Linked DNA regions of Struthio camelus. The protein of the gene in region 1 purifies or fractionates together with the protein of each later gene. This does not show direct contact. Links are inferred from orthologs where the notes say so. Each region holds a gene or a part of one and is shown in the gene's direction. Other genes may lie near its edges.

Region 1 (7,394 bases):
AAACTTAACTGCAGCTTTTTATTTTTACATCTATTTGAATTAGATGACCCCAACTTTAAGTATACAGGCACAAAATGGAAATAAATTAATAGCTTCCTAAATCTGGTTCACTTTTGTAATTGGCAGCTTGCTTTTGGATGACATATTATAGAACATTTTAATTACTTAAGGTGAATAGGCCGTGTGGGTTTTAAGACTCCTAAATTGTCTAATGTATGCATACTGTAATATATCAGTGATTGGAGACTGTTCTATTTAACAGTTAAAGCTATTTTCCTCTTTCTCACGTTTTTTTAAACTCTAGTTTAAATTGTTCCCACAAAACAGCCATAAAACCAGGTGTTCTGAATTTATGGCTGGTATGGATTTTTAGCAGACAGTAGACCAGATGTCAGTTCATAATCCTGAATGTGTAATTTACCATGATTACATTTTTTTTCAATCGCTATTTTAGTAATTTGCTTTTTACTGATTTGTGACATGGTGATTTGCATAACTACTATAAAGGCTCTGTCCAAGTATTATTTGAAATAATGGAAACAGTAACAAAATACATGTTCTTAATAATAGATTACTGAATTGATAATACTGTAAACTCAAAGTTCTGGCAAAAAGCCTGTGCAATTGCTGTGAATTAGCAACCGTAGCCACAACTTTAAGGCATTTTGCTTTAGGTGAAAACATTGGAAAATGTGGTGGTGTTGAAATTAACAGAAATCTAGCCTTTCTTGGGTTTGTTCTTTACATCTGGTAGCACCAATGAAAGAAAATGTTTAGGACTTTCCAGGGAATGCAGCAGGCAGAAATGGGTAGCAAAACAGAGGACTTGTAACAAAGAAAACAAGGGGTGATTCCACATAAGGATGCATAGTTAAGGAAAAATAGTCTTTTTCTGTAATACTGTTTAAAAAGTTATCTTAACTAAAATTTCCCTTTTATAACTTGAAGCTATTTTCTGTAACTGTCTTGTGGGGAATTTTCTTAAGAATTTAACTCCCCCCCCCCCCAACCCCCCGACATACTATAAATACAAAATCAAAAAAAACCTAAAAACTATCCACAAACAATTTCTTAAGATGGTAAATTAATTAGTGCAGAGATTTCTGGGTGTTGTGCTGAGCCAAGTTCAGTCCAGGATGGTTTATTAGCTTTGGGTATTCCTGTGGAAGTTGAACCTACTGAACCGCAGCTGGCTTCAGGAGTCGTCTCTCTGCTCTCTTCCAGCACTTCTGTGCAGCCACTGCACAAAACAGCCAGTCCAGTACAGCTGGCCTTGAGTCAGAACAAATAAGCCTGAGCTGAATTCTGGAGGAGAATTCGGCTATACTTTTCCTTGTCCTGCTGGGCAAAGCTATCTGGGATAGCTTTATTAAGAGCTAGGAGCTAACCTGGATGTCCTTAGGATCGACTTTTCAATTGTGTTCAATCCATGAAGAGTTTTTTTTTTTTTTCAGTCTTACCAGGGGAAAAAAAAAAATCACACGTTTGACTTGCTCTGGTAAAGTGCTACTTCAGACTAAGCAGGAGGAGCAATTAAGCTATTCCATGGATTGAAATAGCTATAAACAAGGACGCTACGACTGAGAGCAAAAGCCTTGTAACAGAGCTTCATTGAAGCTGGGCCTTGTGGTCTTAGGCAGTTCTCTATGTGCAAACACGGGCTAGGAGTTTGTTTTAGCAAAGTGGAGGGGTATAAAACATCTGTCAGCTCATGATTTTGTGGCAAGTAGTGATGGAGGGAGGTGTTGATTTGTTATTTGTTTTTATCCTGTCCCATTATAACATGATGAAAGGCTGTCATTGAGTCCATTTTCCCTGGATAGGAATAGTTCTTTGCTGCCAACAGCGATGAAGCTAGAAAAATGGTTATTGCCCAGTAAATTACTTGAGGTTGCCCTTAATAAACGTGTCTACCAATTGTTTACAACAAGGTGGGAGGTGTAGCATAGAAACGGGCTGCCATCGGAGTCAGGAATATGGTATAGTTTGGGTAGGGTACGTGAGGAGCAATGGAGACTGAAAGTGTTAGGGAAAACATGGTGCTGCTAGGCAGAAGGTGTAATTAGGAATTATTCAGAAGCTACTGCAGGATACTGTGCGGAAGGGACTGCAGGATACTGAGGGGTTGAGGAAGATTTGAACTATGGAGACAGCAGAGTGGAAGAGCCATGTCCGACCAGCTTCAAACAGAGCAAGTTTCACAAGGTTTAAATGTAAAATCCCTTGGGTGGAGGTCTCATAGTAATCCTGCTTAATCTCAGTCATTTCTATGCATGGACAGCTGCTTCTGCTACCCTGTGGATAAATGACTGTGGATGCATGACTGCTGGATTCAGTCCAGGGGAAGCAGGGGGGCATGTAGAGGTGGGGCAAGAGTGTTGAGAGTGTCCCTTTCATTAGCAGGAAGCACTACCTGAAACAGCACACGGTCAACAGTTGCTCTTTGTTGCTCTGTCATCCCCTCACTAGACATTGTACTTCTTAAGCAAGATGGCAGAACATAATATTTAAGAACTGAGTGAATTAAAGGCAAATCCTGGTCTAGGGTGTGGTTAGACAATATGGTTGGACTGGTTTCATTCCAGCTGCCAAAACGGTGCTGCTGCCAAAAGAAGGTAGTCCTACTCCTCCCCTCTACTGGCGCCACCTTCTCCTCCGCTTTTCACATGCTGGCTCCCTTGCCTGACTGGGTCGTGAGCCAACACAGCTTATTTTCTAGCTGAGAACCAATCCGCCATGAATGGGAACAGTTTCTTAGTGGTTTAGGAAGTCCAACTGGCTTACCACATGTTCAGATGAGCGCAGGAACAGGCAGAGGGGAAGTTGTGGGACTCCATGGCTGGGAGTAGGGGGAGTGAGTGGTGGCCAGTACAGCTCAGCTGCGTTGCTCGACTGCACCCTTAGACCGCCATGGGAATTTGTCTGAACAAAACCAATGGATGTTGTACCGAAGCAGCTGAGAAAAACCCTCAGTTCTACTGCGAAAGCACTAACGCTTGGCTGAAATGCAGTAACATCTGAAACAACTGCAGCTGTTTGCTAAGTGAACAGATTTCTAAATTAATTGAAATTCACAAATTTTTTTAGTGCTTACAGGTGCTGCTGCAATAATACAAGAAGCTCCATTACTCTTTCAGACTTGGGCACACGGACAGAACGCTGCATGAGAACAGTGGCACAGATTCAAGGAAAAATTTTCCTTCCCTCTCTTGTGGGATTTCTGTTGTTTTGAATCTGATCACAGGAGAAGAGTTCCAAGTCAGCAAGAAGGAGGGAAAAGTGAGAAATGCTTGGGAAAATTGAAATGCTGCTGAGGATTTAGGCAAAGGACACAGTCTAGGAGAGCAGAATGAAAGTGTGTATAACCAGCAATTTCCACAGTTACGATTTTATTAAAACTGCTCTTGTTACTCTATTGTAACTAAACTGACTTGTATACTTACAAATAGGGAATAACCACTTTAAAGAAATTGATGTAAAATGCTTTAACTAGTCTTTTGTTAAAGAGAGTGTCCATGTTAGGATTTTTCGACAATTTGCAAAGTTAATGTTTCTTAAATGGGAAAGTTTTGAATTCCCTAGAAATTCTATAGAAAACCCGAGTTGTGTGTGTTTCTTGGCTACCTCCTCCTTTTCCAGCTGCCTTGTAACTGTGATATAGCAGGAAAAAACAATGCTAGCTTACTAGCATAGTAAGAGATGCATAGTAGTTCCTCTCCCTCTGTAGGAGGGCAGAGGTAAATGAAATCTCTTTGAGCAAACTGTGCATTAAATGGCAACTTGCGGAGATGACGTGCATGTTTGCAGAGAACTAGGAGGCTACCTAAAATAGAGATTTGAAGTCACGCTGCTTTATTTTCGTTAGTCGTGCCGTGGAGGGCTGGCGCGTCCCACGCTGCCCGCTCCTGAGGCAGCGCTCACACCGCCCATGCCGGAGCACGGGGAAGCGGGCGGCAGCCCCGAGCGAAACCCGCCGGCGGGGGAGCGGGGCGGCGGCGGTGCGCCGGCCACGGGGCTTCCCCCGCCTCCGGGTGCCGGCCAGCGGCGTTGGGGCCGGCTCGCCGCCGCCAGCCGGGCTCCCCCGTCCGCCTCCCCGCACGTCTCCCGCGCTGGGCGGCTGCTGCCGCCGCGGACAGCGCCAGCGCCGCCGCCCGCAGGCCGGGCACGAGCAGCTCCGTCCCCGCCGCCGCCGCCGCCGGGCGCTGCGCCAGGCACCTGCCCGCGAGGCGGCGGCTCGACCCGCCGCGGCGCCGTCCAGCGCCGGGGGCGGCGGGCAGGCCGGGGCGGCCGCCTCCGCCCTCTGCCAGCAGGCGGAGCTGCAGGGAGCGGGTCCCCGCCGCAGCGGGCTGGAGGGGGAGGGGAAGGAAGCGGAAGGAGCCGCCGCCGCGCTGAGGGGAGCAGGCGCTGTGCGGAGCCGCCGCCGCCGCCGCCGCCGCCTGGTGCGGGCAGCACGGAGGGAGCGCGCCGCGGACGGGGCTGCGCGGGCCGGCCGCGCCGAGGAGCGGGCGCCAGGTGAGGGCTCGGCCCCGGCCCGGGCCCGGGCCCCGGGGGGAAGGGGGACCCGGATGGTGCCGAGTTCGGAACCCGCGAGGGGAGGGGGAAGGAGGAGGAGGAGGGAATGAGAGGGGGGGAAGCCCCCACGTGACCCGCGCGTGCTGGGAGGAGGTGGTGGCTCGCGCGGCCCGTTCGAATCAGCTGGCCCGGAGCGGCGCCCTGTGCGCGTGCGCCTGCGCAGCGGCTCCGCCCTGAGCGTTACGTGTGTGTGTGTGTGTGTGTGTGTGTGTGTGTGTGTGTGTCCGCCCGCCCGCGGGGGCGCGCGCGCGGCGTGACACGGTGGGGCCGGGACACGTGCGCGGCGCCGCGGCCGCCATGTTGAGCCTGAGCCAGTGCGGGCGGGCGGGAGGGGAGGGGCGGGGCGGGCGCGCGCGGAGGGGCGGGAAGGCGGGCGGAAGTCTCGCGAGGGCGCGCGGTTCCTGTGGGAGCTGGCCGGCTGCGGGATGGCGGTGCGGCGCTGGGCGTGCTGGGTAATGGTAACGGGGGCCCGGGGGGCGGGGACCCTGGGACCAGCCTCCTCCCCGCCATCGTGCCCCGGGCCACACGGGGAGCGGGGCGGGGTTGGCCGCCCCGGGGAAGCGCAACTGGCTCCGCTCCCGCCCCTCCCTCCCGCCGCCCCGGCCCTGCCCCGCCTCACCTCACCTCACCTCGCGCCTCGCAGGCTGCAGCGCCTCGGCCCGGCCGCGCCGCCGCTCCGCCGTCGCGGAGCCCTTGCTGCGCCGCCCCGTCCGCCGTGTCGGGGTCACCCCGTCACGGGGCCGTCTGGCCCCGCTCCAGCGCGGCTCTGGCGCCTCCAGCCTGCGCCGACGCCCGGGGCGCCTCGCGCAGCCGCGGGCCGTGCCCGGGCCCGGGCCCCCCGCGAACACTTCACGGTGCTATTGCTGTCTCTGCTCGCTTTTCAGACCTGTCCCCTGCTATTGCTTCTGTTCTCTGCTTGTTCCCAAGGCTTCTGCTCTTGAACCCTAACTGCTCCTGCCCTGTAGGCAACTCTGATATTTAAGGGTACAGGAATCCAGAGTGGGAGATCTTTAACGCCACACACCTGCTCTCTGCGACTATGATGTATGTCCTGCTATATCCTCAACTTATAAAATACATTTCTGTTTTCTGTTCTATATGGGACAAATCACCGCAGTAGTATCCAAGCATCCCAACTCTGCAATATCCCCTTTGTCTTCTAGTCCTGATCTCTCAAAGGGAGAGCATATGGTTCTGCTTCTTCCTTATGGTGTTGTGTATTCCCTGCCTGATTATCCAGGAACACTGACAGGTCTCATAATCTTGGAATATAACTCTTCACTTACTAATCCGGTTTTAGACTGCTGCATAACTGATACTAAAACTTATATAGAAGAACATGTTCTTTAGGCTTTGAATTTCTGGCATATCTTTCTGGAATATGTTCCCAATCATTATTAAATGCAATGTAGTAGTTCTGTGGTGGATGTACACGTCTTCTATTGGTACTAGCATTATTACTGCTCTAATAACTTTAGTCATCATTTATTGAGGTTTTCAAGGTGAAGCTCTAAGTGTATTCTATAGTTCACATTAAATACTAACTTGTGCAACCTTTGAGAGCATGCTTTCTGGGTATATTTCTAACCTGCTGTTAGAAATTATACTTTTTTTTCCCCCCCTGTCTAGCAGCTGCAAGGAGTGGTGATCCAGAAGGGGTATGGAGATTCAGGGTTAGCAAAGTCTGGTCCTTCTCGTAAGCAAGTTTAACTTTTCAGAAAATAAGCTGACAAGCTACTGTTGCAGTTTGTTTTCAGTTTTTTTTTAATCTTACTGCACTGTCTTTCAGGTTAATAATATTAGCATTTGCTACTCAAGTTAATCAAAAGGGAAAAAGTTAATTTCAGGAAAAAAAAGTGATGTGTAGGGGGAAAAAGATGCAGTTGTTATAAAGAGTACGCAAGTAAAATGTTAGTGTTAATAAGATCTAATTAAAAAAAAAAAAGTGAAATTTTGACTCAGTTAAAGTCAGTCATGAAGCTTCCATTTCCTTAGAAGGGTGTTAGAAGGGGTTAATATTTTGCCTTGTATGTGACTTCTAGTAAGTCATTCAGGACCTGAACAACTTTGTTTGCAGGCTTTATGCAACACTGTCGTGCTTATTTCATAAAAACATTTTCTGGCCTGATATTGCAGTCCTTCACAAAGCTTTACTGTTATGCAGTGCAACTGTGTATGTCAATAAGGAGAAGTAGTTATGACCTTAAATTGAAATACTATTGCACGTTTGTGTGACTGGAAGTTGTTTAGTCCAATATATGTAGTGATGAAGTTCAGTTGTACATTTTGTCTCACTTCTCATTTCTGGAAAATGAGAAATAGCATATAGATTTTTGAGCTCAGTGCTATCACACATTTAATATGCACAAATAACTAGATCTTTATTTCTGAAGATTTGGGAATGTATCCTTGCATGGGCCTCTATTCTACAGCTGAGCAGCACATGACTGCTCAGATATTTGTCAGTGTTTCTACCACATTTGTGTAGACAGATTCCATAGTCAGACATCCGTAGTCTCATACAGAATGAAAGCTCTCCCACTCTTTCCAAGAGACAGATGAAATATTTTGTTTCTTGTTCTTCCAGACCATTCTGGGTACTGCAAGTATATTGGCCTCTGCGCAGTGGAGTTATCTGGTTGACACAAGGTGGAGAGACTTTTTTTTCCTGCTCTTTTACTATCATGCTAACATAAGCAAAATGAGAAAGGGTTTCTTTCATCTTTCTGAAAGTACTCAGTCTGTTCTATTTCTCATTGTTAATGAAATTTTGTTGTTAAAAGTTAAATCTTTCACATTTGAAAGCCTCTTTAGAAAGAGAG
Region 2 (7,948 bases), on another chromosome or scaffold:
TATCAGACTGAGCTACGGTGATTCACTGTGTAAAGCTACATTACTGTGATGCCTAAACATGTACAAGTATCGATCATGGCCCTTCCAGAAAAAAATAGCCTGTTACTAGTTTTCAGCAGTTGGTTTTCTTCACCACCCTCATGCACAGCTAACTGCTTTTGCTTCTTTCCCAAGTGCTCATGCCATGGCTGGATCAAGACACACGTCGGTGCGCAGAGCAGCAGAACCAACCTGCCTGCAGCCTCCCTCAGGGTGCGTCACCAAACAGAAACATTTGTAATCCAGTTTCTTCAGGATATAGGACAGAAGGCATTGCAACGTCTTGTTTGAGTCTCAGCCTCCCTTCCCCGGGCACCTACTGGTCACCTTCAACCAAATTTGACCAAAGGATAATGGGCCCCAAGGACAAGCAAGTTCCCGAGCGAAAATCAGTGATGGGGTAGTGAAGAGGGAGCCAAATCTCTCCCGGGGGAAGCTGTATGGGCTCAGCAGTCCCCATGCTGGCTGGCCATTCGGTAGTCAGCCAACAAGCCTCACATACCTGCTGGCCAAACAGCATACGCAGCACGTGCCATCGCACCAGCGGTCCTGAGCGGAGGCAGGAGGGAACCAGTGGTACAGGAGGGAAGCAGGGAAGCTGGGACTATCAGCATGGGGAGGACTTATGAGGCTAGTTTGGGTTCATTTGTTCTGTCTTCATGAGGTAACCTGGTTTTAGGTGCATTTAAGCAACAATTACTGTGTTCAAAGATAGACCTATCCCTCCCCCTCAAAAAATTAAGTATCACCATGGTCCTGGAAATGCATTATTAAGGTGCCTTTTCATGAAGAAATGATTTAATCTTGTGCTTCCTACCCCATTAAGTGACCTTCCAAGGCTGTACCCTACTCCCACCTCTCACAGTGAATTGGGATCAAGTTACTTAAGTTCAACATATCCATTTACTTGTCTGTCACCCTGGTCTAGCAATCACCTTGCGAGACTAGAGAGCTTAGCTCTGTCAACACACAAGAAGCCTTCTGAATATTAAACATACAGAACAAACCACTTGAGAACATTTAATTTGCAGAAATGATCGGTAAATAATTTCAAATAGCAAATGAAAATCACCTCATTTGTTAAAACTTCTGAGAAGAAAAAAATAAAATGTGAATACATTATTCATTACAGATTATCCACTTAGATCTTCTTGGAGTGAAACTGCACTGTGAGAAATGTGTTGTAGTGAGAGGTTTGGAAATTGGACTGAGACCCTTAAGAGCCATTTCACACAGGCCATTGAACAGCCATCAGGTGGTAACACCTCTGGGCCTCCTCCAAGCTGAAAGCCATCAGAACAGACTTCAGGCAAAAGGTTTTTTATCTCATTGCCACCTCCAGGAGACATCAGGCTTACTGTAACTTCTGTAGTTCAGTTCAGCCAGGAGATGTCGCACCACTAAATTACTGATATGGGAAACAACAACACACAAGCACTGGTATAACACTCTAGGAATAGGGTTGTTTATTACTCCTGATGAGTATTTTTCTTCCTTTGCCAGAAGGAAGCATCAGGCCAAGAGCCTTACAAGGAAAGATTCAAAATCATTGTCATTCATGAGACCTACCTGTGAAAAGCTGCCGGCCTCAGAGGCACACTCTTTTCATCAGGGGAGGTACATCAGCTTTCTCCTGACCCCCTCCTGGACACAGCAGAGCGAACAACAGCAGTTTACACCACCACGAGTCAAGCCATTGCAGACTGGAACGAGACTTATGTTGGAAGAAATGTTTACCTGGCTAGGAGCAATCAGGTTAATTCACTTAGAAGGCAACTGCTGTGAAGATAGCCATATGTTGATTTCTTCCATCAAGTACCTGGAATCATATTTTAGCTCCTAGAATTAGGAAATACCTGTTGGTGAAAGCAATAAAAATTCCAGTGACATTTCAAATTCTGCCTCCCCAATTTTTTAGTTTTTTCCTCATGATTTTTTCACACGCGTCTAGGGCCTGGGCAAAAGGGAAAGGAAATAATTTCCAACATGTTACTCTCGTCTTAAACAGACTGTTAAACAGTTCAGACAAGAAGTATATAGAATACCAGATCTCCTACTCCAGCATCAACAGGAATAACGCAGATATTACTCTTTGAGATAATACAAATATTAATCTTTGAGCTTTAGCCCTTGTCTAGATCTGAATAGGTGCACATTTTCAGGTGCTGATACAAAATGAACGTCTGATCTATTTGCAATGTATTTATCTCTAATGCCGTCTTCAGCTCTCAGATACAACTGCCAAAGGCTACATCTGTCTGCTCTGGAGAACAGCTCTCATCTGAAGTTCCCAGGCAAAGGATTAAATGCTTCAGAATCTGCATAAACGAGTACGAGCAGCCTTCAAGGCTCCCAGTGAACAATACAGCATTTCCCCCCCAAGTGATCTAGATCCTGCTCATCTGAATCAACGTCATGTGTTCTCTGAGGCGGCACCAGAAAAAATTCACACAAAATTAAAATTGCACAACAGCATAAAAAAAGGGTGCACTGGAACAGTAATGACAGTGGTTCTTTTCAGAAGAGGGGATTAGCACCACATACAGTATCACTGAGTGGAGCACTGCCCATGCGGGGCATTCCAGACAGGTAGAGTTTATTGCAGAACAGGGCCTAAGTACAAACAAGTATTGGAAATTCATGAAATACCAGTAACATTTGCCAGAACCAGGGCATCATAAACATACGCAGAATCTACCTAATATTTGTGCTAAAGAACATTTTAATTATCAGCATTACTATTACAATTACACCAGGCTCAGAAGGAGTACTACGTCCCCTCAAGAACACAGTACAGCATATGAGGCTACTGTAGAGGTCATGAGAGCTATCACGAGATGTGTATTACCACTGTGCCAGATTGGCTATCCAGACTGTCTCATGCAAAAACAAATGGCTCTTTAAACAATGCCACTAGCTAACTCATTCCTGAGCTTTAGGGTTTCACGCAACGCAAGACTTGGCGAGCTAAGCCCTATCCAAAGCCCTCTGTCAGGATGTCCTCAACAAGCCCACAAGTGCACCTAGTTCACAAAGACATTCAAAGTGTACATGGGGGACAGCCACAAAAGACCTCACAGGCACTAGCCTGCAAACAGACAGGGGAAGGACGAAAGATCCCTTTCTGTATAAATGATTTAGACATACACAGACGTTTGTGCAAGTTCATGAGCTGACAGGAGATGGAGACACATTACACATCACCTACAGCTTCTAAGTTACTTGTGAAAAGCAGCAGCTTCAAAAGATCACTGCTGGGGAGCGTCCCAGGCAGGGAAGATGAACAAGATGCTCCATTCTTCTCCTCCTGGTCCCTGGACGCTGACTGCCACCACTGCCTATGCTGCTGCCGCAGGCCACCCTCTCTTCTGTCTACCTGTTATGATCTTTCTTACTCTTCTCTAAAGTTTTTCCCTCGTTCATGCTCACATCTTCCTTCACCGCGCTACCCTCTGTAACTCCTCCCAGTTCTAGCTCATGAGCCACATAATCCAGGCCAAGTCTGACACAAAGGGCAAACAGCTGCCGGGGGAAGACCTGCAGAAGAAGATGGTGGGGTTGCAGCCAGTTGCTAACAATCACCCCATCACTGCTAGGAAAATAATTACTGCTACATGAGAAACTATTAATTCCTTACTATTTTACTGCTACAAGACTTATTTGACATATACTTGCATGAGACACGGGGGCCTTGCAAACCTGGAGGGACAGTATCTTGCTTCAAACTTCTAATGAAGTTAAGTCACTTTTTTTCTCCCTCTTCCAGTCACATGCATGGCAGTCCCGTCCCTCTTCTGCACTTGGAGCGTTCTTGTCACTCTTCTTGGCATGTGGCCTTGATCAGGCAAGGCAATTTTCTTCCAGCATGTGCAAGCTCTGACTCGTGGGGGCCAAGTAATGCCAACCTCCAAGGCCGCCGCTGCCTTGTCTTTTCCCACAGCAGGGAATTCGAATTGCTAGCACATCTCATCTTCTTAGCCCTGCTGCTGGTCACATGAAGAAGCCCTAGCTGGAAGGTACAGATGAAGTAACGCTCGCACTCAAAACCCACAAACTGCTATAAGGCTAGGAGCCCCTTTTAATTTCCAGCCTAAACTTACTCCTGGTTGAACGATATTTGTTACTGTGCCAATACTGTCTTTTAGCTTGTAACAGCGTGGTCCCCTTTGGCAGGGACACACGCTCCCCACAGGCTGTGGGGCTCGCACCCCCCACGGCGCGTGGGTACTCACACATCCCCTCCAAGCTGAGGCGTACACCTACACCTACACCCCCCCCCTCCAAGCTGAGGCGAACACCTACACACACACCCTCCAAGCTGAGGCATACACCTACACACACACCCCCTCAAGCTGAGGCATACACCTACACCCACACACACACCAAGTTGAGGCGCACACCTACACCCCTCCAAACTGAGGTGTACACCTACACCTACACACACACACACACCCCAAGCTGAGGCGAACACCTAAACCTACACACCCCCCATAGGCTACAAACAGGTGCACACCCTATAGGCTGTCTGTACATATATATACACGCCCCCCTAGGCTGTATGTCTGTACATAAACACACAGCACACACAACACACACCCTCGCGAGGCTGTAGGTACCTATGTACACACACACACACACACCCCGAGGCTGTATACAGCTACATACACACACACCAGGCTGTAGGCACCTACCCGGACACCACACACCCTGGGCTGTGCACACACACACACCACACACGCAGAGACCCTGCCGGCTGTACAACACACCCGCAGAGACAGACAGACACACCCTACTGGCTGTACGTACAGGTACACGCACAGCCGGGACACAGACACTCTCACACCACCCAGCAGGCCCCGCCGGCGGCGCGGGAGCGCGCACGCAACCGCCCGCCCGCGCACGCAACCGCCCGCCCGCGCGCGCGCACGCCGGCAGGAACGGGGCCGGGCACGGCGAGCCGCGGCGCGCGGGGCCTGCCCGCCGCCCGGCCTGAGGTGAGAGGCGGCGGGGCGCGGCCCGAGCGCCGCCCCGGCCCGGGAGGGGCGAGGGGCGAGGGGGGGACCGTGCCCAGAGCCGGGAGGGGCCGGGCCGGGCCGGGGGCGGGGAGGGGCGCGCGCGGCGGGGGGAGGGGAGCGCGCTCGCCTCTCCCGTCACGGCCCGCGTTGGGGCGGGGCCGGGGCGGGGCCTGGCCGGAGGGGGCGGGGCCTGGCCGGGCGGGGCGCCCCCTGGCGGCGGCGGCGGCGGCGGCGGCGGCGGCGGGGAGACGCGTCCGCCAGGGCCAGGCCGCGCGTGGGGCAGGGGGTGCAGGACATGGAGCGATGCGACGTGGGCAGTCGAGGCCCCCGGGGCCGCGTCCCCACCTGCGGCGCCCCGCGCACGCCGGGCTGCGAGGGACCGTCCGGAGGGGGCCGCGGCGAGTCCCTCACGGCCGCGGGGTGAGACGTCCGGCCCCGAAGTTGCTCCCGGTCCTCCGAGGAGGCGGGCAGAGGTGCAGGGATCGGAGGGGCTGCGCAGCTGCGGGCCTGTCCCGGGACGCTGGACCGTGCTTCGCCGTGTGGCGCAACGGAGGAAGAAGGTCTAGAAAGATAAACACAAATTTCAGTGTGCGAAAAGTCAGAGCCTTTCCCAGCTAAGGCACCTCGTAAGAGTGAGATGCACCGGAGATCCCGTAGTGGAAAACAACCCAAGTCCTTGGTGATGGGCAGCACTGTAGGACCTCGCTGTACAGATACTGGTGAATAACGGCTGTTCGTAGAGCTGCCACACAACCAACACCGAAAGCGTACTGGATGTCAGTGTGCTAGGTTCCTGCGTCACTGTGTGCCCTGCCACCGACAGCCTGCTCCTTCTCTTCCTGGTGCTTCTTGGAGGTGCAGGGCTCTTTCTTGCATAACAGACGTCCATAACCGCTCACCACATGCGTTTCCGGATGAAAGCTTCCATTTAGGATTTCACCAGCAGTACTTTGTAGTGTTGCTGTTTTGGGATGGGCTTTTTTGCTTTGACTTTTTGGTATCAGTAAATTCCATGAAGCATTTAATGTGTCATTTATGTAATTAAAGTCTCTTGGAGGGAAAACTAGTCCAGGTAAAATTAGGTTCAGGTAAGACGCTGCTGGTTCTCACAAAAATTGTACCTTGCTAGTGGGAAACAAATTGGGATTGCTGTCCAGCTTCCCACTGGGAATTTTGTTCAGGCTTGTCATTTGGGGTTTAGAGCAAAAATCAGGATTAACCAAATCCCGTCTCTGCCACTTGTTCGCTCCCTGACCTTGTGTAAACCTTATTCCTTCTTTCTTCGTTAGTTGTCGCTACTGCACTTCCCTCACAGCAGCAGTTGCGGGGATCGCTACTATACCACATTTGAAGATTTCTGATGCTACAGTCACTTCAGCCACTGTCTTTACTGGGGCATATTCACCTTAAGTTATATCCCCATCTCTTCAGATCTCTTCATACTATGAATCTTACCTGTCTGCGTTTGATTTCTTCTCTCACCTGCAGAAAACACATCAAGTGGTCCCTGTTACAGTGACTGTCCACAGCTCTTTTGCTTTCCTGCTCGGCACATTCTGAGAGGATCTCCTCTATCAGGACTGTGTGAGACTCCTTTCCTTCAAGTGGAAAATACCCTTCAGGTGGAAAGTTGAACATACTGGTTGGGGCGAAGCTTACGCTACAGTCTTTTATAGCAGGACAGGTGTTACTCAGAGGAGCAAGAATATCGGGAGGAAGAGGAGAGGGAGGGAGAGGAATGGAGCGCCTGGCCTCCTTCAGCAGTAAGTACCATAAGCTGAGATTTGGAAAGGGTTTGCCATTTTTTAAAGACATCAGCAGTAAGCTGGGGGAGGGAGACGGAAAAGTAGCAATATTTGGTCCACAGGGTCACTACTTTAATCGAATTCTCAAAAGCACAACTGGTATATGAATTATTTGGTGGGAATTTGGATCTTTTTTGCCTCCTTGTTATATAGTGGGACTAGTTACGGCTTTTACTAATTGACAGCCTGTTTAATTTGACTACTTTGTAATGAACAAAATAAGAAAAACTTGTAGAACAGTGTTTGATTCCTTGTTCAGCAATTTGAACAGTGTCTGAGGATTGGATGGGTTACAGAACAGTAGAATGCATGCCTTTGCAACCACAACAATAAGCTGTTCAGGTCAGACTTGAGGTAGATGGATGGGAAACTACAGCTGTCTGTGCAATCTTCTCCATAAGTAAGGTCCTTGGGACTCATCTTCAGTGCAAGACATGACCATGGGCACTGGATCAAATCAACCAGCTAGCACAGCTCATTGCATCACTGCTGAGAAATACTGATAGGCTGCTCCAGAGAGGGCTTTCCTTTGACTCCATTGCACAAGAGTAGGCTATTTAGCCCTCAAAGTTTTAGGTCTAGCAGAGAGGAAGTGCCAGGATCTCTCTGGAAGCTTCAGCTGAACAAGGAACTTTCAACGGCTATTTGGAGAAGCTCCAGTAGGAAAGAGGTTATATACAGCTGACTTCACTTTAAATTATTAAAATTATTGGATATTTGAATGATAGCAAAAACAGTGTCATGTTTGTGTTGCATGAGATTTACTTGTTGGCTTCACAGATGACCCTTTTGATAAGCCTCCGTGCCGAGGCTGCTCTTCCTACCTCACAGAGCCCTACGTCAAGTGTGCTGAGTGTGGGCCTCCTCCCTTCCTCCTGTGTTTGCAGGTGAGTGCAAGGATAAAAGTGAAGACATTCATTTCTTTAAGAAAGTCATCAAAGGCCTGTCTCATACCAAGCTGTTACATAAACACATTAATAATTGGTCTCTGTAAACTTGTATCAAAGCACATATTTGCTCAAGGACAGGGAAATGACAAAGAAGGTGTTGAAGGCTAAGAATTTAGCTTGAACAGCTGAAGGAGAGAGA
Region 3 (7,792 bases), on another chromosome or scaffold:
GTGTAGATAACGGAGTACTGCATTATAGTGCAGCCTCTGGCCTTCTGCTTTTATATATTCCACGTATCCCTCTATGTCTCGGCCATCAAGCATATAACATTACCTGGTAATCGTTCACTCTATCTCTAAGTTCCTTTTCTGTTAGCGCCTGAAGAGGCATAATTTGTGGAATCTCTTCCATTTGTACCATCAGACAGTTAATTTTCCCTGCGTGCCTGGCATGCGTTTCAGGGGTGAAGCACTGAGCTTTCCCGTCTAGCACCCTGAGTCCAGAAAGCTTCGTTCAAACCTGTGCTTGTTGGTCACCTGTGCTTGAGAGCAAGAACGCAGCTGACTGCTAGGGCTTTTTCCGTAAAATAGTTGAGTTCACCATGTTAACTTAGACGGTTACTCAGTTTACCCTATTTTTGTTTTTGAGTTGCAAGGACAAGACAAGCAGCAGTCCCACATCTCGGGATTTCAGGTTTCCCCTTGCGCGAGGCATGGTGATGTGCTGGAGCTCTGTTGCATGCAGCTGGTAGGCCAGAGGGGAACTCGGGGCAAGTGGGAGAAACGGCAAGGGGAAACCCAGCGCTTTTGGGTTTGTGCATTTTGCTAGGCTTGCTGAAATACAGGACTGTCTGGTTGCTCCTACAGTTTGCAGTTCCAGTCACAGGGAACTCAATAGGTAAAAAATATTTCACGTTTGTCAACTCGCTACTTTCAGTCTGAGAGATAAAGAAGCATATGTTGTCAAAGTTTTCTAGTGGCAATGCTCAGGAAAAGCAAACGCTCAGTTTTCGTAATTGCCCGACTGGACGAATGTATCTCGTTTTCTCTGCCACTGAAGATGGCAAAAGCCCATTCCAGAGGATTAAGAACCTCACTAGACTTGATCACTCTGAAGCAAGATGTTTTCCTCTGAATGTGGACTCTCACGCGCACAGGACAGTGTGCATTAAATGGTGTGCCGGACTAAAAAATCTGAGTAATACACACTGAAAAGGAAGTCCACAAGGTGATGAGGTTGATGAGATTTTTAAGCAGAAGTTTGTTATCTGGTTGAGGACTAGACAGTAAAGTTTTTTTTTTTTTTTAAATGTGTCCAGCAAACAAGCTTCCTTAATGTTTTATTTCAGGTGGCATTGATAAAAATCCGTCTCAGTGTCAGTGCTGTGAGCATTACCACAAAACAGTAGGCAGCCTCTTACCCACCCCACACCAGCTGTGTGAATCAGAACATAAGTTCTCGGCACACTGGCCTCGCATCAGCTGTCTTTCATAACATGCATTTATGTATAAAATTAGTGACTCAAAGTATATATCCTTGATAGTGTTATTATCCAAAAGCTCTATTTACATAACCTTTTTTCTACTGTAGTGCTCCAATCTACACTCATGTTTGCGCATCTGTGCATGTGAATAACTTTGTGATCATTTTATGCTAATTCTATTATAAATGATACACATAAAAGTCCCTATGTACAGCATGTTGATAATGTAATTACAACTTACTTTGTATTATTAGTTCCAAAGAAAATAATGTGTTAATGTTGAAAATACCTGTGCCTTGAATTCACTTATAATTTTTATCTATTGTGAAAATGAGCTTGGATTGCTCCTTCTGGTTTATCTTTATTAGGATCAGTCTTACTGTCTAGACTGCTGATGTCCTTTTAAGAGAAGTAAATCTTGCCATTCGTTAACTAAAAGAACAGTTAAACCTTTTATTGAGAATATGCCTACAATGCTTCGATTTTTTACAATGTTATGGCAGATTTACTGTGGAGAAATCAGTATTTTTTTTTCCTGTTTTCTATTTCCTGCACTCCCTCAGTGACAAAGGAGTTTGTCTTTGACTTCCTGTCCTTCATACGTAGTTTCTTGTTTTAGTCAATAGCCTCTACCACATTTCAGAACGCTCTGACTTGCCTGTCCTCAGTAGAGTTTAAAATAAATAAGATGAAGCAATAATATGGTGTAGCACGGCAATATGCAAAATCAAGAGACTTGAATAAAATGTATTATTATTAATTTCATTTGTGTAAATGCTGGACCTGTGGGGCCATTCTCCTTTCGGTGCACCTGTAGCAATTTGGAGTCAGATTAATAGGAACTACTTGGCCATGGAAAGAGAGGTTACCTACTTAACTATTATTCATATGATACTTTCCTTTCACCTGGAATATGTTTTGATTTTTCTTTTTGCTAAGGAAAACAGCGGTTCATTGTATTCCTTGCCAGTTCCTTTATTTACTGAAACGTAAAAGGTTTGGTTCGAACAAGAGCTTAATCTTGTCTTCAAGAGCAATCTGGTACAGCACAAACGAAGCTGAACAAAAAACTGCGGACCACTTAGTGTGTGCCAGACTCAATGCAATGCTATCTGACACGTAACATTAAGGTCTTCAGATTGTGCTGACAGTAGAAAAGTGATTTTGTAATGTAGCACAAAAGCAATAACATTTACTTGTTATATTTAAATATATTTCTTGCATAATTCTTTGAAAGATTTTTTTTTTTAAATCCAATGTACCTAATAAACATTTGCCTTTTGAATAGTTTACTGTGTTTTATTTAGGTCATGAGAAATGCCACGGAGGGGTTTGGTCGTACAAGGAGGAAGCTCTTTCCTGTTCTTCCTAGGTCTTTTATTTGCTGGATTCTGCACCTTTGCAGTGTCTGTATCAACCCATCATTCTTCTGTCTTCCAGTCTGGATGCTTTCATAGCTCATCTTTATGCCTTTGTCATGTAACTTACTATTGACATGAATACAGGTAGTGCAGGCAAGCTAGAGGCTGTGCGAAAAAGGAAAGAGCAAGGAAACTGGGGGAAATGACAAGATGGGATGTAAAATAGTGCTTAGTTCTGGGAATCAGGATCTGGAAAGGATACAAACGGACTCAGAGGGCAAAAGCAATAAGCGAAATCAGGATAAGGGAATGGATAATGGTAGGAAGGTGACCAGTAACACTATAGGTTGGAAAGAGACATGCAGGAAGTTTACTCTTCCCAGATTAGCTCTCCCTTGACCATCTCGAGGTGCCACTTGTAGAACGGCCGATACAGGGCTCGGACAGGGAGAGGGTGGTTCTCTTGCACTTGAACTGACATGACTGTATTTCATTCAATACCACAGTTTTACAGATCACATTCATCTTTCAGTTGTTTTCTAGTGGAATACTAGCTTGTACTCCTGGCATCCTCTTCCTCATAGGACAGTGTGGATTTCAAACTCAGAGCTTGTCCTTCACGTAACCCTAGATGTGTGTCTTGCCTTCTTCCTAAAACCCTTTGTTTTTGGCATTGTGGCAGAGTCAAACAGAGCTTCCTACTGTGATTTTTTCCCTGTGTTCCACTGAGGTCTAACTCGTGAGTCCTTTCCTTGTTTGATGTATTTTGGATTGTGGGTCCTGTATCTTTCAACATAAAACCAAAGCCCTGGGGCCTTGATATTCGATATACTCTGTATCAGAGAGATGTAGAGGAAAAAAAAAATACAAATAACTTTTTAGAAATGGTGGCAGGCACATTTTAATACAACTTAATCGACATGAAGATACTGCTTCATCTGTCTACTGGCAGAGAGGGGCCTGCTAAAGCCTTGAACTGCAGAAAATTGAAGTACTTCCACTAGCTTCAAGAGTTTTGAACCTAGCCCCACAGAGATGAGCGAATCTAAATGTACCATTGAGGCATGTAAAGATTTTTCAGATACCTTATAACATGAAACATAAAACTAACGCCAACAGTTGGACTGCAGTTTGGCAATGTAACTGGATCATTGACCGCAATCAAGGGGCTGTTACTGTGGTGCCAAGAATAAGTTATGACCGAGTGCAATGTTACTGTTCCTGAAAGAAGTAATCTCACATGAAAGGAAATTCAGACTACGATGCAATGGAAATACACTGAGGAATGGGATCCTGTCTGAATATACTTAAAATGTTAAAAATGGACCTATTTCTGTTCCTCTCTCCATTAAGCAGAGAAAAGGAAGAAAATAAATAAAAAACTAAATTATATTCCTGATGAAAATGATACAAATTTGGGTACAAGAACTATCTCAATGGATTGTATTTGTTGCCTGACAGAAAGCCTTTCTAGCAGTGGTCCTGAAACCAGAAAAGGGGGATTTTAAGGTTGGCTCCCTGCACATTGAGCACGCATACACTTGTTTACAATTTGCGGCCTCATAAGAAGTTAGAAAATACATGTAAGAGTTGGCCGTTATCTCATGCTCTTTAGCAGCATGAGTTTAGCATGAGACTACGGCGGCGGAGCGAAGGGCTGCTTGTTGTTCAGGACATCTGACAGCGGTGTTAGGATCTGGTTAAGAAAAAAAAAAAGTGACATTAAATCCATTAGTTTAGTGGGGCAACTGTAGCTGTGATTTGACACGCTGTGAAACACCATGAGCTGTAAAGGTAGGACGTTTGGGAGCGGGGGCGCAGCGAGCCCCTCGGGGGCCGCCGGCAGGCAGCCGCCTCGGGGCAAAGCCGTGCAGCGCCGCTGCGCCTCTCTTGCGCGCTTTTACTACCCGGGGCTCTCAGTCACGCCGGGCCTCACTTGGCGTGCTTTTATTATTATTATTTTCTTTTCTTCTCCTAACCACGCGCCTTTCAGTTCCTACTTTTGTGTCAAAATCTGCCTTCCCCCAGTTGTACTGCTTACTGGCCAATATAGCGGGGCCGCGCCAGTACCTCCGGCGCCTCAGGGGGAGCAGGACGGCGGAGCCTTTCCGCCCCCTTTCTCTGCGCCTCGCCCCGCCCCGCCGCCGCTCTCCGCCTGCGCGGCTCCCGCCCCTCGCGCTGACGGGCAGCGAGGGCCGGGGCCTGCGCTCATGGCGGCGGCTGGCGGCGGGCGCTGAGCGGCGCGCGGCGGGGAGCGGGGCGGCGGCGGCCGCCTCAGCGGAGCGCGGGTGAGCGGCGGCGGCGGCGGCGGGAGGGCGGGGGGGAGGGGGGGAGGAGCGCGCGGGGCGGCGGCGGCGGCGGCGCTTTGTGCGCGCGCGCGTGCGCGCCGGGCGGGTTGGGCGTGGGGGGAGGGGAACAATGCCGGCCGCGCACGTGGGCAGCGGGCGCGCGCGCGTACTGCCGCGCCCCGGCCAACGGCCCTAACGGCCGCCCCGGAGCCGCGGCCGCGCCGAGCGCCCGGCCTGAAGGGAGGGTGCCCTGGGGGGAGCCGCGAGCGCCTGCGGAGGCTCGGGCCGGGGTTGGCCGTGCGCCCCGGCGGCGGGAGCAGCGAGCCGCCGCGGAGGTGAGGAGGGCGTCGTGGGCCGCGGCCTCCCGAGTCCGCCCTGCGGCGGCGGCCGCCGTCGGCTGCGCCCGCGCCCCGGCCCGGCGCGGGGCGGTTGGCGTGCGAGGCGTCTTGCGTGGGCCACCCCTTGCCGAGGCGTGTCGGTGGCCGGCGGGACGCGTGAGCGCGGGTGGGCGACCCCCCTCCTCCCCCCTCCTCCCCCCCCCCCCCGGGCCGGGGCAGCTGTCGGGGAGAGGGGGCTCGGCCGGGCGTGGGGACGTTGTCCCGCGCGGTTCCCCCGCGGTCTAGCTGGGAGGTCACGCTTGTACGTGACCCGTGTGCTGGCGCAGCTTCGCCGGCGAGCCCCCCGCCTGTCCCGGGTAGCGTGGTGTGTTTGTGTCGCTGTGTGTGCGCGTCCCGGCTCGTTCGGGCCGTCAGCGCGCTGACTCTGACCAAGCGCTGCGTGCTGGAGGTGATGGTGCCGCCCCTGAGAAAACACCCCCGATGTACTGAAATTGGTGAGCCAAGCAAGTCTGGACATCCTCTTAAGATCCGCGTGCAGGCATCGCTGAGGATGGGGAACAGGCTGTTGTGACTTTTGCGTCAATGGACGGTGGCTAAATTGGAAGAGAAGTTGCTAATACCAACACCTGCCTTGGCGGTCTTCTCCGGTCGTACGTGCTAACCTTGCATAAAGAAACGTGCCTGCCAGGAGAGGGGCGAGGTGTGTTTGCAGAGCGGCTGTTCAGCGACAGTGAAGGTCACTTCATTTTTCTGCCTTGCCGCTCCATCTTCGCAATACCTTTCCCCACACAGGTTGTGGTGGGCTATGGAGACCAAAGATCGGGAGGCAGTGTAAACTTGTGGACTGTACATAGCGGGACTAGCTCTGAGCTTTGCAGCTGTGGATGGATCTCTAGCAGCTGGGGAAGGAGGTGTTCCAGGAGGTGTTCCCGAGGTCCAAGGCAGGCCTTCTCGCTGTGACTCCTGTCATTTCAGGAGAAAGTTTGAACTCTGTCCGGAGAGTTGCTGTGGGTAATGTCACTGCTTTTATTTTTCCTCTCGGTGCAGTAGTTGAGAGAACATGTCTGGGATCAAGAGAGTGATCGCGGAGAAGGACCCCGACTATGAGGAGATCGCAGTCACACATCCCAATAAGCGTCACAAAGCAGCTGAACAGTCAGGTAGGAACCGTCTGAGTTGCGATACTGTCATGTGTGGAATTAGAAGTGCCACGGATTCAGCAGATTCTGTGCATTTTTCTACAAACAGTTCAGAAAAGGACTTGGACGGGAGCTAAAAGGACAAAGGGCAAGGAAGCTAGCGATATCTCTGTATAGCAAAATGACGGTGTGATTGTCATAGGTGGAGCCATTCATACCTGCTAGCTGAACTGAGCTTCAGTAATGACAGCAGTAAAGCATGTGGTCGCAGACTTCAGCGCATGATAGCAACTAGAGCACAAGCCATCTGGGAGTGCCTGACCGTGTACTTTGGTTCTTGTTGCTTGCTGAAGTATTTGCAGCTGTATCTTCCCAGCTGTTTTCTGTGCTGGGTTATGCTCCTACCTCTGCATTTATTTTGCAGTTGAAACCTGCCCGTAGAAAGACTGGCAGTTAGCTTACGTTTGAGGGATGCAGCAGCTGGTAGCAGTACAGTTTGGGAGAAGAGAACCCCCTGACCCTGGGGCTAGGCTGGCTCTAGGAAAAAGCAAGACAAACAATTGCAAGAGAAAGCAGATAAAATGAAACGAAGTAATGTAGAAGGGATAAGTTAGCGAGAAGGATGGGGCTTTTAAGGGTGCAAAGGAGGAGGAGTAGCTACCTGACTGAAGGAAAGATGGACAAAGAAGCTGTGGCTGGATGAGCAGGTATGCATTTGCCACTGTCAGAAGTGCTTTGGGAACCATCCTGTTGGCTGTGTGCCTAGGTCAGGTTCGAATCTTCTCTGGGCAAGTGAGACTAGAGTCTCTTGCCCCTGGGACAGGGAGTGGGCTGAGTGATATTTGGCATAGCACAGCCAGTGGGAGAGAATCGTGAGGGGAGGAGCTGAAGAAAAGGGAGATGAGAAAAATGGAGCCTGCTGCAGGATCTGAGCAAGATCCAGGAATAGAGCAGGGTGTTGGAGCTGCCAGTTGGAGAGGGACAGATAATGGTTTCACAGGTGGTGTTCTGGAGGACAGTGTACAGCTGGGCGAGTCTGAGGAGACTGAACTTCAGTTTGAATATGCTGCTGGGCAGGTCTTGTCTGCCAGGTTAAGGTCAATTAAGGGCGCTGACGGCAGAGCCCTGTTGGAGCTAGCTATGGCAAAACAGCGTTAGCGCTCCCAGCTGTCTGCCCTGCCTGTCTGCCAGAAGTTGCCACCCTCTGTGGTGTTGAATCCAAGTGACTGCAGACAGATTTTTATCCTGCTTCTGAAGCAACTCCTCAGAAGATCTTAATAGGTAGCAGGCCAAGTCTCAGGGCTCTTGGAGAGCTGTCCTTCCCAAAGTGAACTTCTTGCTGAGGTGATTCTTCCATATTGAGTTCTTCTTCTCGTGGAAGATCTCCAGTTTTCAATACAAGAATTCCGTAAG
Region 4 (7,552 bases), on another chromosome or scaffold:
GTTCGGAGCCCCGCCCACCGGCCGCACTCCCTGAGCCCCGCCCCTCACCTGGTCCCCCGCCCCTAGGGGTTCAGAGCCCCGCCCACCGCTCCCCCCCCACCGGCGGCATCCCCCTAAGCCCCGCCCTAGGGAGGCAGAGGTCCGCCCCTCACCTGGTGCCCCGCCCCCTGGGCTCGGAGCCCCGCCCCCAGTTGGAGCCCCGCCCCCCGGGGGCCGGTGCCCGCTTCCCCGTGCGCTGGGGGGAGTGCGCTTGGGCCATGGGGCTCCTCTGGGTGGGAGAAGAGGCAATTTAATTTGCTACAGAAGCTGAAAAGCGTATAGGGAATGGAGCAGGCAAGACTCTTATTTGGGCTCATCCAAGGGGAAATGGTGCTTGACCAATCCGACAGCCTTCTCTGATGGCATGACTGGCTGGGTAGATGAGGGCAGAGCAGTGGAGTTGTCTCTCTTGACTTCTGTAAGGCTTTCGACACCATCTCCCATCACATCGTCATAGGGAAACTCAGGAAGTGTGGGTTGGATGGGTGGCCAGTGAGGTGGATGGAGAACTGGCTGGATGGCAGGGCTCCGAGGGTTGTGATCTGCAGTGCAGAGTCTAGTTGGAAGCGTGAATCTAACGGTGTCTCCCAGGGGTCCATACCGGGTCCAGTCTCGTTCAATGTATTCATCAGTGGCCTGGATGAAGGCAGAGAGTGCACCCTCAGCAAGTTTGCTGATAACACTAAACTGGGGGGAGTGGCTGATACCCCAGAGGGCTGTGCTGCCATTCCGAGGGACCTGGACAGGCTGGAGAGTTGGGCGGAAAGGAACCTCCTGGAGTTCAACAAAGGCAAATGCGGAGTCCTGCACCTAGGGAGGAATAATCCTATGCACACCAGTACAGGCTGGGGGTTGAGCTGCTGGAAAGCAGCTCTGCAGAGAAGGAGCTGGGCGTGCTGGTGGACAAGTTGACCATGAGCCAGCAATGTGGCCAAGAAGGCCAATGGTCTCCTGGGGTGCATGAGGCAGAGTGTTGCCAGCAGGCGGAGGGAGGTGATCCTGCCCCTCTCCTCAGCCCTGGGGAGGCCACATCTAGAGTACTGTGTCCAGATCTGGGCTCCCCAGTACAAGAGAGACATGGTACTCCTGGAGAGAGTCCAGTGGAGGGCTACGAAGATGATGAGGGGACTGGAGCATCTCTCCTAGGAAGAAAGGCTGCGAGAGCTGGGCCTGTCCAGGCTGGAGAAGAGAAGATTGAGAGGGGATCTCATCAACGTGTACAAGTATGTGAAGGGAGGGTGTCAAGAGGATGGGGCCAGACTCGTCAATGGTGCCCAGGGTGAGGGGCAACAAATAGGACAGGTACAAACAATCACAGGAAGTTCCATCTGAACATGAGGACAAACTTCTTCACTGTGAGGGTGACAGAGCTTTGGAACAGGTTGCCCAGAGAGGTGGTGGAGTCTCCTTTGCTGGAGATATTCAAAGCCTGCCTGGACGCGATCCTGGGCAACGTGCTCTAGAGGACTCTGCTTGAGCAGGGGGGTGGGACAAGATGATCTCCAGAGGTCCCTTCCAGCCTCAACCTTTCTGTGATTCTGTGATTGGTGGATGGGATGCCTTCAGCCACCAAGGGTCTAGCAGGAACATGTACTAAACGTTCCTGAGTGTCAGCTGAAATAAATGGGAGCTGTACTTTGAACACATGGTGTGCTGCAGGATACTGAATGCTCTGAAAAAAGTCTCTCCTTAATGTTTTAGTGAGACATCTAAAATTAAGGGGTGTTTTTGACCTTAATCTTTCCTTGATTAGTATCACTCCTTCGTCTGATAGAGGGGTTCTGAAAACAAATTCATATTTACAAACTGTGGAGGTAACGGACATAAAAGAGTCCATAAGGAAATGAGTGACACCACCATCAGAGCGTGATCTGTGTATCTCAAAGTAAATAATGCCTCAGGCAACAGGAGGAACAAGGGATGTGAAACTAAATACTGAATACCTGGTCAGGATCCATTCCCATTACTGAACGAGATGGCAGTCCCATGGCAAGAGCAGCATGGGAGAGACTGGACTGTAACTCCTGGGCAAAAAAAAGGGGGTGAGTTAAGGGCACAGAAGCAACTCCAGAGTGTGGGATTCTGAGCTTTTAACTTGGAAGCTTGGCGTTCTTCCAGTGTGTCCCTGAAAAAAGCAGTGGTCGATCAGCAAATTAATTCGTATGGTTAGCGCCCCCAGCTTGGTTTATGCATCTCTTTTACTATCTGGAAGAAAATAGGGACTTGCTGCCCTATGCCTGATGTTCCCATTGCTCTGCTGTAGTTGCTCCAGCAGGCTTCCGAGCAGAACAAAAAGCTTCCCTTCCCAGCCTAGCTTCTCAGAGCTTTGAAAAGCCTCGTTCAGCAGTGGTTCTCCTAATCCGCTGACGTCTGCTTCGTTTGCACAACAGCGTTGAGTAGCTTTGGTTGCTGGCGACCTGAGATCGCTTCTGCAACCTTCTGCCTGAGGAAATCCTGCATTTTCCAAGTGCCGGATAACTTATGGACAAGGATGGACAGCCTTCACCCCTGTGGCTGGGAGCGGTCACTGCTGCGGAGGGTATCAGCGTCGCTGCTGTTAAGCCGCTGACAGACAGTTTTGCTGCGTTTCCTAGAGATGGAGGGGTCAAAGGAACGCCGATCAGCGGAAAAACCTTTTTGGAGTTTCTGGGTGACAGAGCCGGTGTCCTCATTTTTTTTAAACCAAAATTTAAATACAATTTTTTTTTTTTCAGATCACTGAGCATTTTGTCCCTTTCCGCACAAAATGCAACCTGTTATTTTCTATCCGTCCTCACACAGCCTCTGCGAACTCTGGGAAGGGGAAAGGGGTTGCAGGGCTACCAGAAAGTTACCATATCATGGGCAAGGGAGGATGCGGGGAACTATTTTCCCCCCAGAGAAGCCGCTCTACTCTCAAAATATATGTCCGATGTATGACTTCAGAGGTGGCTGACCTGTCCTTAGGGGGATGGGTTAGCAAAACAGTTCTCTAGAATTGAGGAGGATTCCCCGAAAAGCTGAGTTTGACACAGATTACATGTTTCTGTTACAGGAGTACTAGGATTACTCAAGATGCTGCTGCTGCAGCAAAGCCCAATCACTTGATTCTTCGTTCTGAGCTCGCAGTTAAACTTTAAATCACTATTCAGAATCAATAGGGCTCAAAGCTTACCTTAGTATTAATAGGGCCCAAAGCTTATCTTTTATAAATGAAATCTGAAATTTTATTTTTATGATCTTGATGTTCAAGTTGGGAAATAATGGCTTCAGGTTTGAGGGAGCCAATTATTTAGATAAAGAAATGAAAATGAGTAACATGGACATTCTTCAGACCTGGTGTAGGGATTATTTCAGTTTTATCTTTACGTAGATTAACAGACTTTTGGCTTTTATAATTTGATATTCCAGGAACTGATTGATTTCAGCTTGCATAAATTTATCTAAATTGATTCAGAAAGCAAACAGGCCTAACCTTAGAGTATAGAAAAAGGAGAGAAGAACTTTTTTGTAGCTCTTTGTCATGTATGAGGTAACAATTATAAAGGTGTCTTTTGCAAACTGTGCGTTTTAGGAGGAAACGTTTTCAGCATCTGAAGGATTGCAGAACAGCTGTATTTTATGAAGGAAAAAGGTTAACCTGCCTGATGCCCTGATTGTTCAGTTACACAGTATCTCTTCACATCTTTGTTGTTATTAGATAGCACTAATGAAGTATTTAGTTTATGAGCTTTGTCTTTAGCAATTAGTAATTTGTAACCTGAATTCAGTGCTTTGAAGGTGATGGGAAGGAACTGCTTTTATTAGATTAATTTCCAGAGAGAGTTTTGATTATTGGCTGACAAACGTGTCTGTATATTTTTAACAAGATAAAGCATTTCTTAAACAAAGCATTCCTATTTTAATCTTAACAGAAGAAAAACACACACTTTTTGGTATTCTAGATGAAAAAGAAAACCCCGTGAGAATTTGTCAAATAATAATTACAAGTATGTTCTAAAACAGCTTCAGGGTCAGTTTTCAAACAAATTATTTGCAGGTGCATTTTGGCACCGGTAAAACAGATCAAATAAATTATTCCTCTTTTTCGTCATTAGGCTAAATACTTTATTCCTAACTCCAGTATCCAATGACTAGCCTTAGTACGTGTGAATCTTTCTCGTTGCTGACTGCAAGCTGGACGTTTTAGATTTATGCGTGTCAGCTGGTAAATCAGGCAGGGGTATCGCACTTCTTAGATTCCCGTCTCTAGTTGTGCTAAAACGTGACTGCGCTCATGTGGCTTGATTTAGATGTGAGCCACTACTGGCTTATTACAATCGTTTGGAGTGTTGCTCTCCTCAGTTACAATATCTCTCGCCTCGTGCACAATATCTTCTGATAAGCATATGACTGCTGCTTTGAAATTGAGTATAACGTCCACAGATTTAAAAGCTACCGCCTGCCCGAGGAGTTCGAGACAGACAGACAGGCAAGGGAGTCGGCATGTTGCTATGTTTGCCTTTGCACTGGCACTTACCTTGCGGTGAGCCAGTTCAGGGAGGTCAGTCAGCAGAGTATGACTTCTTTATGGGGGGGGAGGGGGAGAAGAAAAAAGTGAGCTATTTTCTACTGTTTTATCTGTCTGGGCTGGCTCACCCCTGGGATCAGGTGAGCACTGTTGTGAGTGCAGAGGAGAGCACGGGAATGGAAAAACTAGAGCAAGGCTGGCTTAGGTTGGTTTAAATGGCTGGGGAACACCATCCCAGCTGCCTGTAGCCAGTTTTACTTCTTTTTTCTTCTCCCCACTGTCACACAGATGCTCATATAGATAATAATAAGGAACTGGTAGAAGTTCCAGTTAAGCAGTCTGGTCCGCTTTCAGGACCAGGCTCTGAATTTGCAGGGCAGACTCTGGAAAGGACTGGTCGCGAAGTCTTAAAAGCACTGCAGGAGTGGGTCTGTGTGTGTGCCTGGAGCCCACCAAAGCCGGTTCTTCTCTATACTTCTTTCAGAGTTCAGTCTATGCAGTGTTCGCTGCAGGATCCCTGCCTAAGTGTTGTCACATGCACAAAGTGCTCGAGCAGATGAAATGCTCAGCTTGGGTCACCTTTTCTTCCAGAACTAGTTTCAGTCTTGCCATCTTCTCCATCCTGTGTCTAACCTCATCATCCTCTCCATTCACGTACTGCTGCTGTCTTACCTGTCCCCATCTGGAGCACAGCAACTGGTTCCCGTCTGCTGCCTCCCATTTCTTTTCCCCATCCTGATACATGTCACCACTTTTGGTTCCACCACTTGTTTTTCATTCCCCGTTTCCCTTGGTAAGAAATTAAGGTTAAGCATTTCTCTTGCTTACCGGAGTAAAGAAAACTTTCCAGGAGCAGAGAGAGACGAAAGGGTAAGGAGGAAACAAAGGCTAGCTGGAATTTTCTTAGGGCTTTTCAAACCCTTTTGGGGGCTTACCGGTCAGTTTGAGAACTGCTGATTGATTCTGCACATTTCATTCTTAACGAACATTTTAGGTAAAGGTTATTTTTTTTAATTAAGTGCCTTGCTTGATTTCAAGAGCTTGGCATAAGCACGCTAGGGACTTTTATCAGACTTCTAGCAACATCTTACCAGGTTTTTTTTAGGAGTAAGATATAAGCAGAAAGAAGCAGAATAAGGCAAAATTGTTTCTGATTTGCCACAAAATTCTCTTCAAGCGGAAGAGAAGTTTTGGAGAGATTCGTTCAATTTCCATAAAGATTTAGGGCAGAGTTACTGATACATAGCACTTCTTTGCTCAGTAGCTTTACCACGTCGTAAGTGCACCCATCTGAAGTGAGTACAAACCAAGTATTAGCTTATCAGCCTCAGATGTCAGCTACTGTAGTTTTAGATTCAGACAACAAAGTGGCTGTGGCTGAAGGCAGCGGAGAACTGAAGATTTGCAAAGGTAATATGATTAACAGCGCTGCCAGAGGGGTTGGAGCCCAGGTGGAGATTAGTCGTATTCAATATCAAGCAGGCTGTGATGAACCCTGTCTCTTGTATTTTCAGAGGCTGCACAGAGGAGTTCTCAGAGACCTTGAGCGACTGAGTCAGAAAGAGCAAAATATTCGCCTTTTAGAAGAGCAGATCGCTTTGACGAAGCAGCTCAAAGAAGAAAGAGACAAGACGCTAATGGAGAAAGGGTCCCAGCAGTCCTAGGCACGGTCCTGACCCCTGAGAGTGTGGACTGAAGGCAGTTGGCCAGGTTTGCTATCTGACAGCCCACAAGTAAGCGGAGGTAATCTGTGAAAGACCATTTCTTTCACATACATTCTAATACAATTCAAAAAACTATAGCGCCTCTATCTTCAGCACTTTCACGAGCGGAGACTTGACTGGCACATGCAGTGGGGATGGTCTTGTGAATGTGAGGAGGAAGGGCTCCTTGTAAAGTAAGCACCATCTTCCTTTATGTGATAAAGGATGGCTAATAATGTTCACATGAGCGGGCTGCTGAGTCGCCATGATGATGAAGCGACAAGGACGTCGACCTCCGAAGGCCTGGAGGAGGGTGAGGTGGAAGGGGAGACGCTCCTGATTGTCGAGTCTGAGGATCAAGCCTCCGTGGATTTATCGCATGATCAGAGCGGAGACTCTCTGAACAGTGACGAAGGTGATGCATCTTGGATGGAGGAGATGTCCTATTATTGTGAGAAGTGTCAGAAGTGGATACCAGCAAGTAAGGATGCTGTTTTTATTATTTCTTGTAGCGCTTCCCATTTCCAGTTTGCTTTATTACGGTTGCTATGTTCCCCCAAAATACAGTGTGTGGGTCTCGCCTGGTCTCATGAGGCATGAGGCAAGGTGGTCATGCTGTCCATTTTAAAGAATAGCTCTATTTAGCCTTATTCTGTCATTGGGAAGAAATGCTGTTTTGGCATCACATGGAGCCCAGTAGCCGAAAGCCATTTGTTGTGTTTGTGTGCATCAGGCGCTTACACCCATGAACCCCATATGGGTATCCAAAACTGGCATTCCCCAGTAAAAAAAATGGGACTGTTGGATCTGCTAAACAGAAAGCAAGGGCAGGACTTCGGAAATGCGAGCACGCATTCAAGTTCTGTTGTCAGTGTGTTAGGGGACTTTAGCCAAGTGACTTTGCATGTCGCTCAGCAGAGAGGTAAAGGCAGTGACTGTTTCTATAAAGGTCTATGGGTGAAAAGGGTTCTGTAGGTGGTGGTCTTTTTGTCTTTCTTTTTCTTTATTTTTCCTGGCTAGTTTGTCACATCTGTGGAACATAAGACTAACTCTCAACCTTAATGATTTCCTAAGAACGTGAATTTAATGTAGGTTTCACAGAGGCGTGTTAGGCCTGTAGCAGCTAGCTTTCGGAGGCGTTTGAAGCAGGTTGGATCACTTGATCTCTCCGCTCCTGCTATTTGACATAAGATACATGCTGTTAGCTGAGAAATAGAAGAGATGTTACTTTCCAAAATCTAAATGATTGAATCTACTATTATATCTAAAACCTACGTATTGCTACCTGCTGTTTGTTGGTGGCTAGAAGTAGTGAGCTCTT

Evidence for each region.
Region 2: the proteins of ZZZ3 (region 1) and TADA2A purify together in Homo sapiens (affinity purification with mass spectrometry; 4 studies listed by BioGRID and IntAct, with this or other methods). This does not show direct contact. The link is inferred for Struthio camelus from reciprocal best matches to the Homo sapiens genes ZZZ3 and TADA2A.
Region 3: the proteins of ZZZ3 (region 1) and YEATS2 purify together in Homo sapiens (affinity purification with mass spectrometry; 3 studies listed by BioGRID, with this or other methods). This does not show direct contact. The link is inferred for Struthio camelus from reciprocal best matches to the Homo sapiens genes ZZZ3 and YEATS2.
Region 4: the proteins of ZZZ3 (region 1) and KAT14 purify together in Homo sapiens (affinity purification with mass spectrometry; 4 studies listed by BioGRID and IntAct, with this or other methods). This does not show direct contact. The link is inferred for Struthio camelus from reciprocal best matches to the Homo sapiens genes ZZZ3 and KAT14.

Annotation. Positions count from the first base shown.
Region 1 is NC_090949.1:24,624,690-24,632,083, forward strand, and holds the start of ZZZ3 (ZZ-type zinc finger-containing protein 3), read left to right. Parts: upstream 1-4,385; 5' UTR 4,386-4,512; intron 4,513-4,950; exon of another isoform or gene 4,951-5,024; intron 5,025-5,536; exon of another isoform or gene 5,537-5,616; intron 5,617-6,940; exon of another isoform or gene 6,941-7,221; intron 7,222-7,394.
Region 2 is NC_090957.1:20,323,303-20,331,250, forward strand, and holds the start of TADA2A (transcriptional adapter 2-alpha), read left to right. Parts: upstream 1-4,936; 5' UTR 4,937-5,033; intron 5,034-6,542; 5' UTR 6,543-6,792; coding exon 6,793-6,817; intron 6,818-7,639; coding exon 7,640-7,746; intron 7,747-7,948. Other genes in the region: C16H17orf78 (uncharacterized protein C17orf78 homolog), read left to right, coding at 175-252, 1,543-1,614. UniProt on the Homo sapiens protein: Component of the ATAC complex, a complex with histone acetyltransferase activity on histones H3 and H4. Required for the function of some acidic activation domains, which activate transcription from a distant site. Binds double-stranded DNA.
Region 3 is NC_090950.1:7,909,413-7,917,204, forward strand, and holds the start of YEATS2 (YEATS domain-containing protein 2), read left to right. Parts: upstream 1-4,785; 5' UTR 4,786-4,902; intron 4,903-5,079; exon of another isoform or gene 5,080-5,237; intron 5,238-6,287; 5' UTR 6,288-6,300; coding exon 6,301-6,400; intron 6,401-7,792. UniProt on the Homo sapiens protein: Chromatin reader component of the ATAC complex, a complex with histone acetyltransferase activity on histones H3 and H4. YEATS2 specifically recognizes and binds histone H3 crotonylated at 'Lys-27' (H3K27cr).
Region 4 is NC_090944.1:146,949,620-146,957,171, reverse strand, and holds the start of KAT14 (cysteine-rich protein 2-binding protein), read left to right. Parts: upstream 1-4,540; 5' UTR 4,541-5,938; intron 5,939-6,042; 5' UTR 6,043-6,456; coding exon 6,457-6,712; intron 6,713-7,552. UniProt on the Homo sapiens protein: Component of the ATAC complex, a complex with histone acetyltransferase activity on histones H3 and H4. May function as a scaffold for the ATAC complex to promote ATAC complex stability. Has also weak histone acetyltransferase activity toward histone H4.